Lepisosteus oculatus: one gene and its partner. The protein of the gene in region 1 interacts with the protein of each later gene in a pairwise test. Links are inferred from orthologs where the notes say so. Each region holds a gene or a part of one and is shown in the gene's direction. Other genes may lie near its edges.

Region 1 (8,085 bases):
TCAGCCAGATATATCATCACATTAGATCTTACAAAGGGTTATTGGCAGATACCATTGACAGGCGCCAAAAGACAAAACGGCATTTGCAATGCCTGAGAGTCTCTATCAATATAAGGATTTGCCATTTGCTCTCTGACCCCTGCAACCTTCCCGAGAATGATAAATAAGATACTAGGCCCCCACAAACAGTACACATCTGCATATCTAGATAACATGGTGATACATAGTACTGACTGGCACTCTCACTTGCCCTGTGTACACACCGTTCTTGATTCCCTACAAGAGGCTGGATTAACAACCATCCTGTGGAAATGCAGCAAAGGGGCTGGAGAAGCACAATATCTAGGCTATATCCTCAGTATGGGTATGATTAGATCTCAGGCTCATAAGCCAGTTGCAATCAAAACCAGGCCAAGACCAGTAAATAAGAAATGGGTGAGGGCATTTCACCAGGTACTATCAATGGTTTATTTCTAGGTCTGCTACAGTTGCAGCCCCCGTACTAAATTTAATTAGGGCAAAGAATCCCTTAATGGTAAAGTGGTCACTGGGAACTGGGAGTGCTTTTCAGGCACTTAACGTTGCTCTGTGTACTGAGCTGGTTTGAATAACTCCAATTTCCTTCAAGGATTTTATCCTTTATTTTACACTGGGGCATTAGGTATCATGTGGGGTGAGCACCCCCCTGCTGGCCCCTCTAACACCTCTTTCAGCAGCAAACAGTTTTTCCCAGGAGGCCTCCCATCCAGGTACAGACCAGGCTCGCCCCTGCTCTGCTTCAGAGGGTTGCCAGTTGTGAGTCGCAGGGTGACGTGGTTGTCATGACCTTAAAAATGTCTAGGGTTTGACCAAAAGCCACAACATAAAGAGAACACCCGAGAGATCAGATTCCTCTGGGGAAAACAAATTGATTTTCTTATCACAAATCCAGGGAACCAGAAGTCAATGTTCATATTCAAATTGGGACAAAAAAAAAGGAAAAATCCAAACAAAACTGACAGTAAAAGAAAAATAAACTCAATAGGTGGGGAAAAAAGGTGGTCGTGCCTAAACAATAAGGCTGTACCCCCCTCCAAAAGTCTTCCACATTCTACACTTATCTACACTAACTAAACAAACCAAAATGAAAACAAAAGGAAACGTACAACGCCTCTTTCCCCATCCCAAAAACCACACACCACTCCACTATCTCCGCTCCCCATATCCGATCTCCCAGGGCCCCCTTGTCTTCCCCTTTTAAATGCTCCCACCATCTACTTAATTAATTAATTGGCAACACCTGGAAAAAGAGGAGACAGCAATTAGAGAGGAAAAAAAACACTCCAACCAAAGGTATCACAATGGTATGATATTAAAACCAACAGGCTCCAGTTAAAGGAATAAAAGTACCATGTATTCCAACCACAGGTTAAAAGGGATATTTGAAAGGGCAAGAGAGGCATCTAAATGCTTGTTTGAATTGAGGCTCAAATAAGGTATTTCTGTGACACACCTTCAGAAGAATCAAAATAAAGTGTATATAGAAAAAATGGTAAACTTCTAGACAATGAAAGGGAAATGCTGATGTATTGAATTACTCTGGTACTGTATTTACCTAAGGGAAGTCAGGCAGAGGAAGGACAACGTTCTGTATTCAATAGAAGAAGGAGAAGCACCCAATATTAATAAATTGCCAGGGCTTGATGGTATTTTACTTATTGTAATCAAGGAAATGAGAGTTATCCAGAAGCCATTGATGGAACCAACAGTTGCTCAAGACAAGGGTAGTACCCAGGGACTGGAGAACGGCTAATATAGTTTCCATTCATAAAAAGGTATGAGCAATTGAACGAAGTAATTACAGACCAATAAATCAGATTACATGTAAGGTTACATGTTAGGTAAGGAACCAATTGTAAGAACTAAACTAGAGGATCAACTATATGAGAGTAATATCCAAGGAAAAAATCAGTATGGATTTGGAAAAGGCAGCCATTTTGTTAATTTGAGCAAGCAATAACCGTAATGGACATACATGGAGCATATGATATTTTGATTTTTAGAAGTGTTTTGATAAACTTCCCCATAGAAGATTAAGTCTCAAATTGTAGGTGGTAGGTATTCGGAGCATATAGAGTGTGTGAGCTGAGAATTGGTTATTAAATACCAAGTCGAGGGTATAAATAAGGGATGGGTACTCAGATTGGGATGGTGTAATTAGTGGAGTACCACAGGGATCTGTACAGGGACCACTGCTGATCTTAATTCATTTCAACAATCTATATTCCAGAATTATTATCTAAGCAGGTTTGCAGATTATACAAAATTAGGAACAACAGCAAACACTGTAGAAGTAGCAGATGAAATTCAAGAAGAACTGATGAAATTTACGACTGTCAGGTGACCTTTATGTAGGTTTGTGTAAGGATACCGCATGTACTGTAGGTCCTAAAACTGTAACATGAATACAAAATGAGAAACAATGAATGAAACGTGGCTCCTGATGAAAGGTACTTAAGTGTTTATGTCTAGGAAATGTAAATGTTGCATCAGCAATGTGGGGAAGCAATTTAAAAAGGCAAACAAAATATTAGGATATATAGTTTAAAAAGCCTAATTTAAATCCAGGGATTTTACCATGTTAAAAACTACCCAGCCATGTTGCTGAAGCCAATACCCTGTTTTTTATTCTAAGAACAACTGTGTGAGCTCCCCAAATTAATTAACTACTGAACTACCAAACAGGCTAGATGGATCTAATGTAACCTTTCCTATGTTCTCATACAAAAGATTAATAACAATTTGGTCTGTTTTTTGCTCAGTTCTAATACAGAATTATAGATCATTTAAACCTACTTTAAATGTTTCAGAAATTATTGTGAACTGTCTGCAGGGTTTTTGTGGATTTTTTTGTTGCTTTGAGCAGTATATCCATCCCAGCTATTAGATCCCTTTTGGACCCAGTGCAGCATTTTAGATTGGTTGTTTGTTGCCTTGGAAAAGTGTGATGCCTCATGCTCATCACGTTAACCCAGTTCTCTTGGGTTCATATCAGCACATGGCTCCATGTGACCGAGCTTATTATTGTCTGGAACAATAAATCAGGCCTGCTTGGTTTGTATTTTTTTGTACTCTGAAAGTCTATTGGTTGATTTAAAAAATAAAACATGAACGAGCACCATCTACTGGAGTGCTAGTCCACAAACTGAATTGTGCTTATAATACAGAGCACGAATTACATCCACACAATGGTTTTGGTATTCTGAAAGGCGAATATTTTTACATAGAAGTCGCATCAGAGTAATATTTTACATGAATAAGTAGCCACAAGCCAGAAACCAGTCCACAATCTATAGTAACGTCGCCGAGACCCTGTTATCTGCTTTCATCCTGCGTGGCCCAAGGGATAATAAAATGAAAATGAGCATTTTTCTTTACAGTTATCCCGTTTTCAAAACAGGGATACAATAATTATGACGGTTATCTACAATTGTCTTTCCCTCATTTAAATTGTAGTCGAAATTCTTGCCTCAAGCCCATTATATGTTTTCCTACAGTTTATAGGCGATTTCACAGGTTGCTGCAAATGTACGCTAACCGTTTGCGACGATACAAACGGCTGTTTTCATCTCGTCAAACTTGTGGGGAGCTGTCCAAGTGCTGAACACATTACGAACAGCGCTCCTCACATGACCACAAAAAGAGCGTCTGAATATTTATTACAGCCATGGTCAAAGGCTGTTTTATTGTGTATGTGTCAGTGCAAACTCTTTTTTAAAAAAACCCTTAAGGCTGCTGTGCAGTCCAAATTAGTTTATTTAATATTTAATTGCATTCAACGCTTCAATTAATTGTCTACAAACTCAGTACTACAATCATTTAGGCAAAACGTACAGTCGAAAGCATGTCATGATACACAACTGCTACTTTTGAGAGAAATAGAAATGCCGTTAGTAACTTGATCTAAGTCATTGTTCTAATAAACGGGAATGTTTGGTTTAGCATCTTAATCTTAGTCACGAACTTTCGATGTTGCAGATTGGGGGTCTGGTGGTTTACCAAAATCGTATTTTCGTTCATTTCCCTTTCAGTATTTTTGCATTTTCTGTGTATTTAAATATTTTAAATATATAATAATAATTAAAACTGAACCAGATGTGTGGGAGGGATCTCCTTAACTTAATTATTATTCTTAGAATTACGTTGAGCATTTTATGGTTTGTCATTTATCTGCTGCATTATAATCCCTTCAACAACAATAAAACATAATCTTACCTGACTTCCAGTGCACGAATCATATTCGTTCTTTGTTTATAACAATTATGTTTGCTGAGTGTCAGAAAAATCTATGCTGAAAGACTAGAGATCACTGTTTTTGTAAGAAACGCCGCCAAGCCTGGGTTAAGTGAATCTCTAGTGCCATCCTGCGGACATTTTTACAGTCTCTGTGTCTTACGGCAAGACGCACAATTTCTAACTGGTACACTCATCCCAGATGAAAAAGCAACAGTCTGTATTAAATATCTTGTCCCAGCATTAATGTCTGAAGCCTGTAAAGAATTCAACCTATTTTCCTGGGAGAAATTTCACATTATCCAAATTAACACATCAAAAGTTTATTGATATCATGACGAATTTGGTCTACAGTATTTTTTTCTCATCCGTGGCACAGCTTCAAATCATTATTTGATCATAATAGTTTTGTTGGTGTTCTGTTGTTAGGATCGTCTTCGTGATGACCAAACACTTTGGTGTCTGAACCTTCCGTCCTTCCTCTCACAAATAAATGAGACGTGTTGACTACGTACTGTGTTACTCACAGGGTCAAACTTCCCAAGTCCATCTTCGTGATCGGGATTCATAATCGAGGTACAAAGCCCCAAAGGCAATCAAACACCTGCAAAAAAAAGTCACGTTATCACCGAATAGCGACACAGCTTTCCGTGATTTTAGCAGACAAAGCGGATCTGTTCGATATTGGAAGAACCCCTTTCAGCACCAGAGGAGGTGTTGGTGTGACTCATGCGTGCGTAGTAACGGATAAATAGGCGATTCACGCTTTAAAACAGCAAATCAAACGTACTTCAGCAAAAAAGGTCATAGTGAATGGAATTTTTGCAGTCTATTGATATTCAGACGTCGTTTTCCTTGGAGTGTTATAAACGCCCTTAACGTTGCATGGCTATAAGGCTGTAATTTGGTTGTTTTGAGAGAGTTTCTTGGACTCTGCTACCTGTGTACCTGCCTGGACGCAGAAAAAGGTAAGATACAGCTTTAAGATTATCTGTTATCGCATCACATTTAATGAGTCTGAGAATACTCTTTTAAAAAGTATCATATCTATGATTTACGACTCTTGCATGATTAAAAGCTCTGTGGGAAATAAGCATCCATCACATAATGCTAAATCAACTGCTCATTATAGATTTGTGAAACGGGAGTAAAAAATCTAATAACGGACAAATAGTCACCAGCACCTAGACAGACATGAAGTAGTCTAAGATCTTAATTAGTATAACACATTAAATTACTGGAGTATTAAGACAAGTCTGGAACAAAATTCGTAAACTCTGAGGTGCATTATTTATTTGTTTTGGGGTAAGCAATGAATAATAATTTGTCATGCTGTGGTAATTATTGACAGAATTGAATCGTAATCATACATAAACGTGCTATTTTCCCCATATCTTTATGAAGTCTGCATTTCTGGACAGCATTAACCACGACATCAATTAACTCATTCTTCATTTGTGTTGCGCAGAAACAATTTTCCTCTGATCTATCGAACCAAATAATAATAATAAGCCAATGTATGCTCGATGAATAAATAAGTAATTCGAAGATTGCGGAAAGTTTAAAAAAACTTAACCTTAATATATGGCATTTTTTCAGATTTATCAAGAACAGTGCTATAAAAGGTTAGATTTGACTTGCATTTAGCATATTGCTATAATTAAGATTGATTTTACAGTCTGCTACACCAGCTCCATTATCTACAGACAGGACGTACAGTAATTTAAAAGAAGGCAGGGGTATTTATATTATTCTGTCTCGCCGAAATACACCTACTGATATCATGGCTGTACTGGGGAGTATTCGTTGATCAAATATGCAACCAGGGCATTCTGGTTGGGATTCCACGTAATGAGTCTGAACATCAACATTTATAGAGGCTGTTAAAGCAACATTTCAGTATGCATCTCAGTGTTTTGCTCAGCCTTGGAAGGTGAACTATGTGGGGTTAGACGCGAAGACTACACAGCAGTCTAGTTGGTCACGTCAGAACCACCTGAGTTTCTATTAGGTGGAAATAAATGAGCCCGTTTCAGTGAAGTATGACCACGACTGCTGAGGAGTTATGCGTTTTTTTTATTATTTTCCGTCGGACTAGCTGCAATGCAACCGTTTGAAACTAACAGCATATAAATTCAGCGTTTTGTTTCATGTTACATTAATGTAGACAATCGTAGTAATAGATATTCTATGTAATCGTCTATATTCCTGTGCTTTGTTCCAGCGGTTTTAAAAATGCCCTGTCCTCTCCTTGCAGTTAACCGCAACTTTTCATCTTGGTGAATTAAGACAGGTTTCGGAGAAAGTGACAGCACGTACTGGAGCCAGGACTTTTGTATCTGAGGACTGATGGCGTCGTCTGCACCTTCTTCCTCTGGCGGCGCTCCGGATCCCAACTCGACTAATTTACGACCGCCATCCACAAGTAGGTCTATCGCAGATAAAACGCTATTTCACGTGTGCTATTTACTCCCTAGTCAGTGTCATTAATCACGGACCGAAAATAAAAAGAGCCAAATTCGAAATCCCTCCTATCTGACAAATCGCGACACCAGAGCGAATAGAGAGCAGACTCGACACTAACTCTGGTCTCAGAACAGAAGATGTGCTAATGCAACTAAAAGCCAAAAAATAAACATGGAAAATTCTAGAACAGAATGAAAAGTGAAGTGAAAATCCAGTCATCCGACCAAACTGTCAAACCAGAATTGTTAGTCTAGAAATATTGTAGCCTGTATGTGCTACAAACAGATGTAGGTTGAATTGGACGCATGTTCAGAATTGTTTCCTTTTTTTTCGGGGCTATAAATTTGGGAGAAATTGCTAGTGGGTCTTGATTTATGTTATTTCCATCATGATTTCAATTCTCTCCATCATTTCTGTTCTTGTTGTGCAGTTTTGTATATGTGAACGCACACGGTCCGGAAATAAAATTAATATTTTTAGTAAGTATTCTCTTGCCCTTTTTCTGCTCTTTGCTTGGTATCTTAAAACATTTGAGTGAGTGGTTCAAAGTGTAATTATGTGAAAAGTGGCGCTAATTATAGCTGCACTGAATTGCCCCTAATGGCTCCGGGTTTGCGCTGAGTTATTGAAGTGTCACTGGAATGGAGCGGATGCAGAAGATAGTAATAAACGGCTAACAGTTCTGCCTCAACAATTTTCACAATCAGCTACAGCAAAGGGGGGAAAAAAAGATTCGATGACATAATTACCTCACACAATGGCAGAATAAAAGAGACGGTCCGCATCAGCTTGATAAATGCTGCCTTTCTAGACGGAAAAAAAATCGAAGCAAAAATCTCCCTGTTTCTTCCTAATAGGAAAAAGACGAAAGTGTGTCACGTCTACATATCGTTATAGACCTGTCTAGAGAGTGCTTTCTGAGCTTCAATCCAAAAATATAAGTCTATATAAACACATCTATTTAAAATACAGAATATAATGATACCGAGAAAGGGGCTCGTTTAAGGATTTAGTTGATGCATCAAATCGGGTGTAAATTAATATTTTGTTTTTATTCCGTTTGTTTACCCTCTTAAAATGAAGACTCTGTGGTTTTGTGTGTGTGTGTGCGTGTTTCTGTCTGCTGCCTCTCGTAGTCTGTCATTATCTTACTTTATCACGCTTTATCGCTGACCTGAGGCTGGCCAGGGGATCGCATTGTCGCCACCCAGCCTTTTGCTAGGGACTGCAAAGCAAGAACACGAACACAAGCTGAAAGGTAGACACAGGCATTACCGCTGTTCCATTCTAGGCGCAATAATGTACCGTATGAGGACGCTGATATTAAAATAAATCGACACAACAACA
Region 2 (8,165 bases), on another chromosome or scaffold:
ACTGATGAAATGAGCTCTAAAGTTGTTTGACTATAACTTAATGGCCACTTGCTAGCACACAAGGCTAAGGGACTTTTCCCTGCAGGTCTTCACAACAAAAGTCCTAAAGGACAGACACAGAAATCTCAGCCTGGGCCTAATGACTCCATAATCAATAACAAAAGTGACTGCACATTCAAGCTCTAACAGCAGTATCACCTGTGTACCAACCAGAGGGTGTAGATTTAAGGGATTCATATTTCCCAGCTGGCACACACAATTGCCAGTCAGTTGATCATTCATTAGAATGCCACAAGTTATAGCAGGTCAGGCAAAAACACCTTCTATTGCACATAATTATTTACCATTGGCTTCAAATTCTTTCATTTGAATATCAGACCAACATTTATTAGAATTGCAAACCTTCCCCTTATACAATGTGTTAGGACATGAGCAGGATAAGGTACAAAGCAGCAGCACTGAAGAATGAGATTGTTCATTTGTGTAAAGACCCCTACAGAAGGTATTTAGTAAGGAATATGGAACTGAATTACTGAATTCACCAGTAATTCATCAACACTGCACTACAGGGGGAAGAAAGTAATGTAGTTATTGTGGTCCTCAAAGTAATGGCAAGAGACCTGGAGTTTACAGTAAGATACTGACTTCTAAAATGTCTATATAAAGTACATGTTTGAAAATAAAACATGGAGTCTTTATCTTTGCCTCCCAGTCTAAATAAGCTGGGAAAAATGTTTTCCCTCTTTGTCTGTGGCACACCACCATGTCCAACCAAGTCAGTCAAGGACCCACAATCCTTGAGGCTGCACTCTGAGAGCACAGACAGGCTGGCCTTGCTTCAGAAATAGTCCTGTCCCTGTCCTTGCCAGCCCAGGGAGGGATATAAATAGCTTCCCTTACGCTCCTAACTGCTCCTACCATCAAATAACTGCACCCTTCAAGGTTAAAAGAAGGATTACACCTCTTTTATTCCTAAACATTATCCAGATATGATGTGCACATGCATCTATTTGCATCCACAACAAGAAACCCAAATGAAAACAAAGCTGGCTCTAATGGCCAAGCGATACAAAACGTTAACAAGAAGAATAACTCGGAGACATTGTCCAAGTCTCTGGTTCCCTCAAAAGAACTGAGGAAGTTCTGAACATAAAACCCTCTCATTTAGATTTTGTTATGTACATAAGGTTTAAATGTAAAAAAAAAACACTTAATGATAATTTTAATTGAACCTTGTATTCAGTGCAAGAGTCTTTAATTTTTCTGTCTTTTATTTTGTACACTACAGTATAGGCTCCACAAAAATAAAGAATCAGACATCAAACTCCTGAATGTAAAATATAGGCGCTTGGCACTGCCAACAACTAATTAAATCAACTAATCGCGCAGAAGAGAGGTTGTTCTTGCATAATCGTGCAATGTGGTCAACTGGAAGATTGTGTACTTTCTAAACCAAGTACAATTTCAAAGAGCTTTACAATTCCCTACTAGGCTTTTGTGTAATATTTTTATTGTGCCATATTTTCTCTTGGAGTGTGCTGACAGCTCCCCCTGCTGGATACAAAGAAACATCAAGAACGGACCGACATTTTCAAGACGTGCACTGAACACAAGAGAGTTTACACCCGGACTTTTCGCATATTGGTGTTTTGAATTTAAGTTTAAGAAATTATTAAATGGGAATACAATTAACTAGATATGGTTCCATTACGAAATTGTATTAACTGTGGTATTGTTGAGAAATCAGAAAGCAATCAAACGGCCCTCACAATACCCTTAATGGACTGGAGTATTGAGAGCAGTTGTAACTAGAGGGTTCAGCCCCAAAGTGTTGTCTGTATAATGTAACAAATTTCATTCGTGGTAGAGGAAGCTAGATTTTGTATTTCAAGTAAGTATTTTGAGTTGAGTTGAATTTCATTGTTGCATAGCGGACTTCACAATAAGTGGGAAAATGATGGGGTCCTACAAAATAAGGAACGAATAAATGTTTATTTCATGCAGTAAAGAGAAGAAAAGAAACAACGTTTCGGATGTGGATCTTTCTTCGGGTATGCTGACATAGCTACCTACTTGAACTACTTGTACAAAATGTAGTTCTTAAACATTGTCGTGTAGTAAATACGATTTTTTTACAATGTCTTACTGTTATGTTGCTATTTACATTATGAAATAAAGGCATGAATTTATCCTGTTTAGTATCATTCCCTCATTTGCCTTTTTTAAATTGTCGTTTATTGCTCAGCATTATCCCTCTGGAATGTTTGGATTGTTTAGGGGATTTTAAAATAGTATCAGTGATTAATACTCGGTTTATCGGCGAAACAGAAAAACACGATTGCATACAATTCACCACTTTTTAAAAATACACGCAGACAAATCTTAGAGATTCTAACTACTAAGCTCTTTTAAGAGTGTATAAAAAAAAAGACCTGCTCCAGGTGAGGCTCGAACTCACAACCTCGGCATTGCTCTGCTTTGTACTGCTATATAAGTACCGCGCGCTAACCGATTGCGCCACTGGAGCTCCAATAGTATCGTGCAGCACAAGGCAACATAGCCTGTACTCCAGCGACAGATCGCTATGTGTTTAAATGTGTTTTGGACCTTTTGTTTTTGCATCACTGTTTCATATTTTGGATCTCTGTGAAATACGGTAGAGCTCTAAAAGCCCACCAGGCAACTGTTTTATAAACAAGCCCCTTTACGGCCGTAAACAACCACTTAAAACATTCAACTTCGTTATGACTGTATATTTTAACACTCATAAAATAACTTTTAAAATGTCATTTCCGCGACCAAAATTATGTCTATTAAATATTTGAAAAGTGCATAAAATTGCAATTCGTATTGCTTTCGTCGCTATCTAACCTTTGCACATGAAAAATATCATTTCATAATCCTCATCCCATGAGCTGTTATAACCTAAAGTACGGTATTGCGAGAATACATAGTACAGATAGCAATCATGTACCACAGATAACTGCACCAGCGCACTATACATATTTAAAATGTCCAATACGAATTTTCTTAAAGATGAAAAAAGGCTGCAAAGCTCTGGGCCGCCTCAAACTGAGCTCCAAGCACCGTTTTCCCTCGAGAGCTGAAATGCTGTCACGTTAACTCTACATGATTTCCGTTAAAATAGATTAAAATATATATTTCCCTGTTCCGTACATTTACAAACACAAGAAAACCCCTAAATTACTGATCTCTTATTTAAGGTTAGAAGCTTCAAAACTGCAGTTACAGCGCCTCGCCAGCAGACGCCGCAGACACGCGTATCCTTTAAAAACGACAGCTATCGTCGTGTTTTAAAATTACAGTACTGTAGTAGTAAAGATCATTGGTTTGATCGGGTGCAGAGCAAATACATGTTATTTTCCGTCCTTATTAAAATTATAATTGCATGGATATTACGTAGAGGAATTTTTCTGTGTCACATTTCCAGAATGTGTTTGAGTCTTTAAGCTACTTGAATGCAGTCTTATTTAAATGTAATAAATGTAATCTGTTCTAAGTATGATAGAAGGGATTTGTGTAACGTTGGTGTATTCTTGTATCTTCATTTACATTCAATTACATGTTGTTTCATAGATGCCAATACAGTATGTCTACTGTGTGTTATGTGTCTGTTTATGTGTGCTACGTTTTTAGTCCATTCCTTGTTTGTGAGATGTCACGAACCCTCTTCAGGACAGAAAACCTTCGCCTCTGTTTCAGCACACGTACTGTAGTTTACAGAGCCAACAAATAATTGAATCAATCTGACCACCAGTAGGGGGTTCTGCCATAATCAATTATTTTGGTTTCATTTGATGTCTACCGTTTAACTTGGAAAAAATATATGTTTAGTAACTTATTTAAGATTATTGCTAAAAGAAAAATAACACTAGTGAAGCTTAAAAGGAAGGAGTATACAGTATGCCGGCCTCATTTTAAGGTTCCAGAGCTCTCAAAGGCAAGCTGTGACAGTCTGTCCTACTTTCACCATCTTATCGGCCCAGACCTCGTCAATAATACCTTCAAGGTCACTGTGTTTTCAAATTTCACAACCTTGGCTTCCAATTACTAATTGTTACATGCTGTATTTATTCAGTATGCAGGCGCACTGACAATTTAAGTAAAGCGAGCTTGCGAGTAAGTCAAAGCCTAGACTTTACTATTCAGTATTATGTTAAGCACATTCGCAGGCCGCATACTTGGTGAAATGTAAGACATTCGTGTTTTTTTAATGAAAAATACTTTATTGAGGAACCCCCTGGGAATTTTCCTCTCGTCTTTCTGGCTACACACTGTCTTCCCTATTCCGTTTAGTCCTAACGAAGTAACTAAAAGAAAGGGGAACTGGGGTGAGTCACACAAACTGGCCTTTACTCTCTAGTTGTTGATTATAGAAGTGTGCATCAAGATTGCACAATGGACAAGGTCGTATGACTAAGAGGGTTAGAAAACGTTTTAACCACACAGTATTCACTGACTTTAACTGTCTTAACTACAGTACAAATGCTTCAAAATACAGTTTTAAAACTTCCATATACAAGTATATTATTGAGCACGGTAAAATTTCAGATTGCACTGCATTATTCTTAGAAACCTAGGGTTATAAAGAAAGTAAGACAGAAAGAGTGGGTGGTGGTGGGCGGTGTATTGTACGTCATACGTCATAAATGCATGTTGATTTACGTGGATATTTAACAATATGAACTGGGCTTTGCAACAGTTGGATGTTTTTACGTCCTTCTTAATCGCAAGGGTAACGGTTATTTATTGAATTAAATAATTAAGCCAAAGCGAAAAACGAAGGGGTCTAAATTATTGCAGAAATGAACTGTTTGCTTCTTTGCTCTACGTTGCTGCCCATAATTCCGTTTCAAAACTTACTGAGGAAAAAAAAATGGAATTTAACCTTTCCTCCGAAACGGTGAAAAAACAAACTCCTCCCTCGTTCTGACTTGAAATTCCTGTTCTGTATTGGTAAATCGATGGTACTTTCTACCCAGCTGTAGTGTAGATGTTCATTCCGTCTTTTTGAATTTATCAAAACTTTTGAGAAGACCAAAGATACAGTTTTAGTTCTTAGGGGAATTTTGTGCACTGCTGTAATTCAAGTTCACTGTACTTAGAAATATAGAATTAAGCATATACTCATGGACACAGAAACGCTGCTTGTCAATGTTCAAAAATGGATTGAACAAAACAAAGAAGCTTTCGTTCCACCTGTGTGCAACAAACTGATGTGAGTAAGAACTTTCTGTACTTTGAGAAGGTGCCCAGCTTGTATCCCCAGAGGGTAAAACTGCCAAAGGAACAAAAACTCCATGATTTCGTGTGGGCAGATAATGTAACAACAGGAGATACACAAGTGATTTTTTTTTTCTCATATGCTGGCAACGATTTTCTTTTTGCCCTTAAGTTGAGAATTTTGCGTTGACACACTGCAACTGCAGTTGTTATGGTTTTACGCAAATCTTAGTGGCTTGTATATTCATACCAACGTGACACCCAGTCAGTGCGCCTGTATTATGTGCAGTCAACACCAAATTAACAAGTGATTAAACTACAGGAAACGCCTATCGCTGATTCTGATTCGCTTATCTTTAACTTTAGGGTATCTGTCAAGTAATGTTACAGTTGGCATGATATTCTTTTTGGAGATTAAATCTTTAAATTTATGTTTTCTATTTAAGTTTTAAATTATTTTTAGAAAATAGGTGCTGTGAACCCGATCTACACTATGTACAGTATACTATTTGATGCTGGGTTTCAGTTTTTTGTACATCATAGTTTGTGTTTCTTTCGAATTCACACCTTATCCATGAAAATCATTCATGACATGAAATCAAAGTAACTGTACTGTATGTGTAATATATGTATACACTTCTTTCTACATGCAGGCACATTTCCCAGTTGAACATCATGTTTGTAGGAGGCCCAAACACAAGGAAGGACTATCACATTGAAGAAGGAGAAGAGGTGAGAAACCTGATTCTCAGTTAGTGTGAAATGTGTTGCCTGATGGATGGACAGACTTCATCAATAATGTCAATTCTTTCCCTAGAGAGCCACTCATAAACAACTTTGACTGTAATAATTGTGCAGCTTCTGTTGTGACTTTTAACATTAATAAACACATTTCATTTTACAAAATCAAAATGGTTTTTTTCAAGAAATTGTGATCTCTCAGTCTCAGTTTCTTTAACGTAAGTAATAGAAATACAAATTGTTTGATGTAAAAAAGGGATTACTTACCCATACCTGTGAGTATGACTGTATGTGAACTGGAGCCCTAGTATTAATTTTTGATGTATATCTTTGTGATAAAGTATTAAGTGAGCTAGGAGACTTCATACCCATATTATCAGCTAAAGGTCACTATCGTGTGGATGCCATAAATTGACCTTAAGCAATCCTGCGATATCTATGTGGGTCATTTGTCTCGGTGGTGGCAATTGTAAATGCAGTAGCTGATACACTGTTCTGACACATTTTCAAGTATTCTGAGGACACACAAAAATTTTCAGAAGTTTTGTACATTGTCATGTTCCTCTTTTCCGAGGCGTTTTTGGTGAATGATTGGTAAGCACTTAATTTATTTCATCTTCAGGACAGTGAACTGGCCTGTTTATAACCCACAGTATGCCAATAAAATGTCAATTGCTTATAGGGTCCTACTTCCTAAATTCCTAGTGTTTCTTTTTTTTTATTATTCCTTTACATTACCAAGTAAATTGAGAACAAATTCACATTTACAACCTGGAGCAGCACGTTCACTGGAGCAATTGGAGACAAGTACCTTACTCTATAATACAGTAACAGTTTTCCACTCTGGATTTGGACCTGCAACCCTCCAGTCGAGAGGACAGAGCTCTAACCATTAATCCATGCGGCTGTCTAATTGTGCAGTTCAACTCAGCACTGCCACTTCATGCTCAAATTCAAACCAGCTGTGGTGTCCCTTTTCCTCTGAGCAACAAAATTGGAAATGTCTATAGCATCCAAACATTTTGTTATTGACAAAGGGAGGTTTATGCAAGTGTAGTAGACCAAGCGTCATTGAAAAACACCTTTCTCTTCGCATTACCCCACACTCCAGGTAATTACTGAATACAATGAAGTATCCTTCTGCTTATCATGGAAAAGGTGAAAGTGACTTCATTGTGTGGTCTAAGCAAACATCTCAACTCAGATTTCTGTGCTGCAGCTATTTTACCAGCTCCAAGGGGACATGTGTCTGAAGGTGATTGAAAATGGGAAACACAAGGACGTGCACATTCGAGAAGGGGAGGTGAGTCTCAATCAGATGTCCTCAGGAGCTGAGCATGCAGTATTTATTAGGGTAATTAATCCTCCGGATTCCAAATCACAGTCCCTCCATCTGTCATTGTGAAGTTCTACATTGAATCTCATGTTTGTTCATTGCAGTTATAGTGGCAGGATGTGAATAAGCCTTTCACCCGAAAGGGAGTTCCATTTTTTGCTGCAGACGTGAAGATAATGCAGGTCCAGTCATTGTTGCCTGTTGTGTGCAGATGTTCCTGCTGCCCGCACGGATCCCTCACTCCCCACAGAGGCAGGCCAACACTGTGGGACTGGTGGTGGAGAGGAGGAGGCTCCCGTCAGAGACCGATGGTCTGAGGTACACTGACCCCTCAGCCAGCATTCTGCAGGCAGACTCAGCTCCAGCAGCTGTGATAATCGGTCCAATGGAATTCTTTCCACCAGAGGGCAGTAAAGGTGTGCTCAAAAAATTATCACTTCCAACAGCAGTCAATCCTAACTGTGGCTGTGTTGTGTACGACCGAACTGTGTCAAGCTTCTTACCACAACCACAGGATTATAATCACACCTGAGATTTTCCTGAGTTTTCTTTTTGGGAAAGATTGCGCTAAGGCTTGAAGAGTACAGACACAAAGCTTTTTGAGTACTAGAGAATGTACGGGTGACTACATCGCTTTGTGATTTAATAGGTATTACATTGAGAACACCACAGATGTGCTCTTTGAGAGGTGGTTCTACTGTGAAAACCTGGGAACCCAGTTGGTGCCAATCATCCAAGAGTAAGAGATGTTTCTTCTGGATATAAACTGTATTAATTGAGCACAGCATGTGTTAACTGTGCTGCAGCCTGAGCTACTCTCACTGATACACAGGACTAAGAATCA

Evidence for each region.
Region 2: the proteins of gad1a (region 1) and haao interact in a two-hybrid assay, tested with the Homo sapiens proteins (4 studies listed by BioGRID and IntAct). The two-hybrid records come from large-scale screens. The link is inferred for Lepisosteus oculatus from reciprocal best matches to the Homo sapiens genes GAD1 and HAAO.

What each region holds. Positions count from the first base shown.
Region 1 is NC_090707.1:16,159,441-16,167,525, forward strand, and holds the start of gad1a (glutamate decarboxylase 1), read left to right. Parts: upstream 1-4,701; 5' UTR 4,702-5,240; intron 5,241-6,189; exon of another isoform or gene 6,190-6,205; intron 6,206-6,529; 5' UTR 6,530-6,621; coding exon 6,622-6,697; intron 6,698-8,085.
Region 2 is NC_090712.1:14,665,973-14,674,137, forward strand, and holds the start of haao (3-hydroxyanthranilate 3,4-dioxygenase), read left to right. Parts: upstream 1-4,731; 5' UTR 4,732-5,150; coding exon 5,151-5,239; intron 5,240-5,897; coding exon 5,898-5,976; intron 5,977-7,204; coding exon 7,205-7,288; intron 7,289-7,532; coding exon 7,533-7,639; intron 7,640-7,970; coding exon 7,971-8,060; intron 8,061-8,165. UniProt on the Homo sapiens protein: Catalyzes the oxidative ring opening of 3-hydroxyanthranilate to 2-amino-3-carboxymuconate semialdehyde, which spontaneously cyclizes to quinolinate.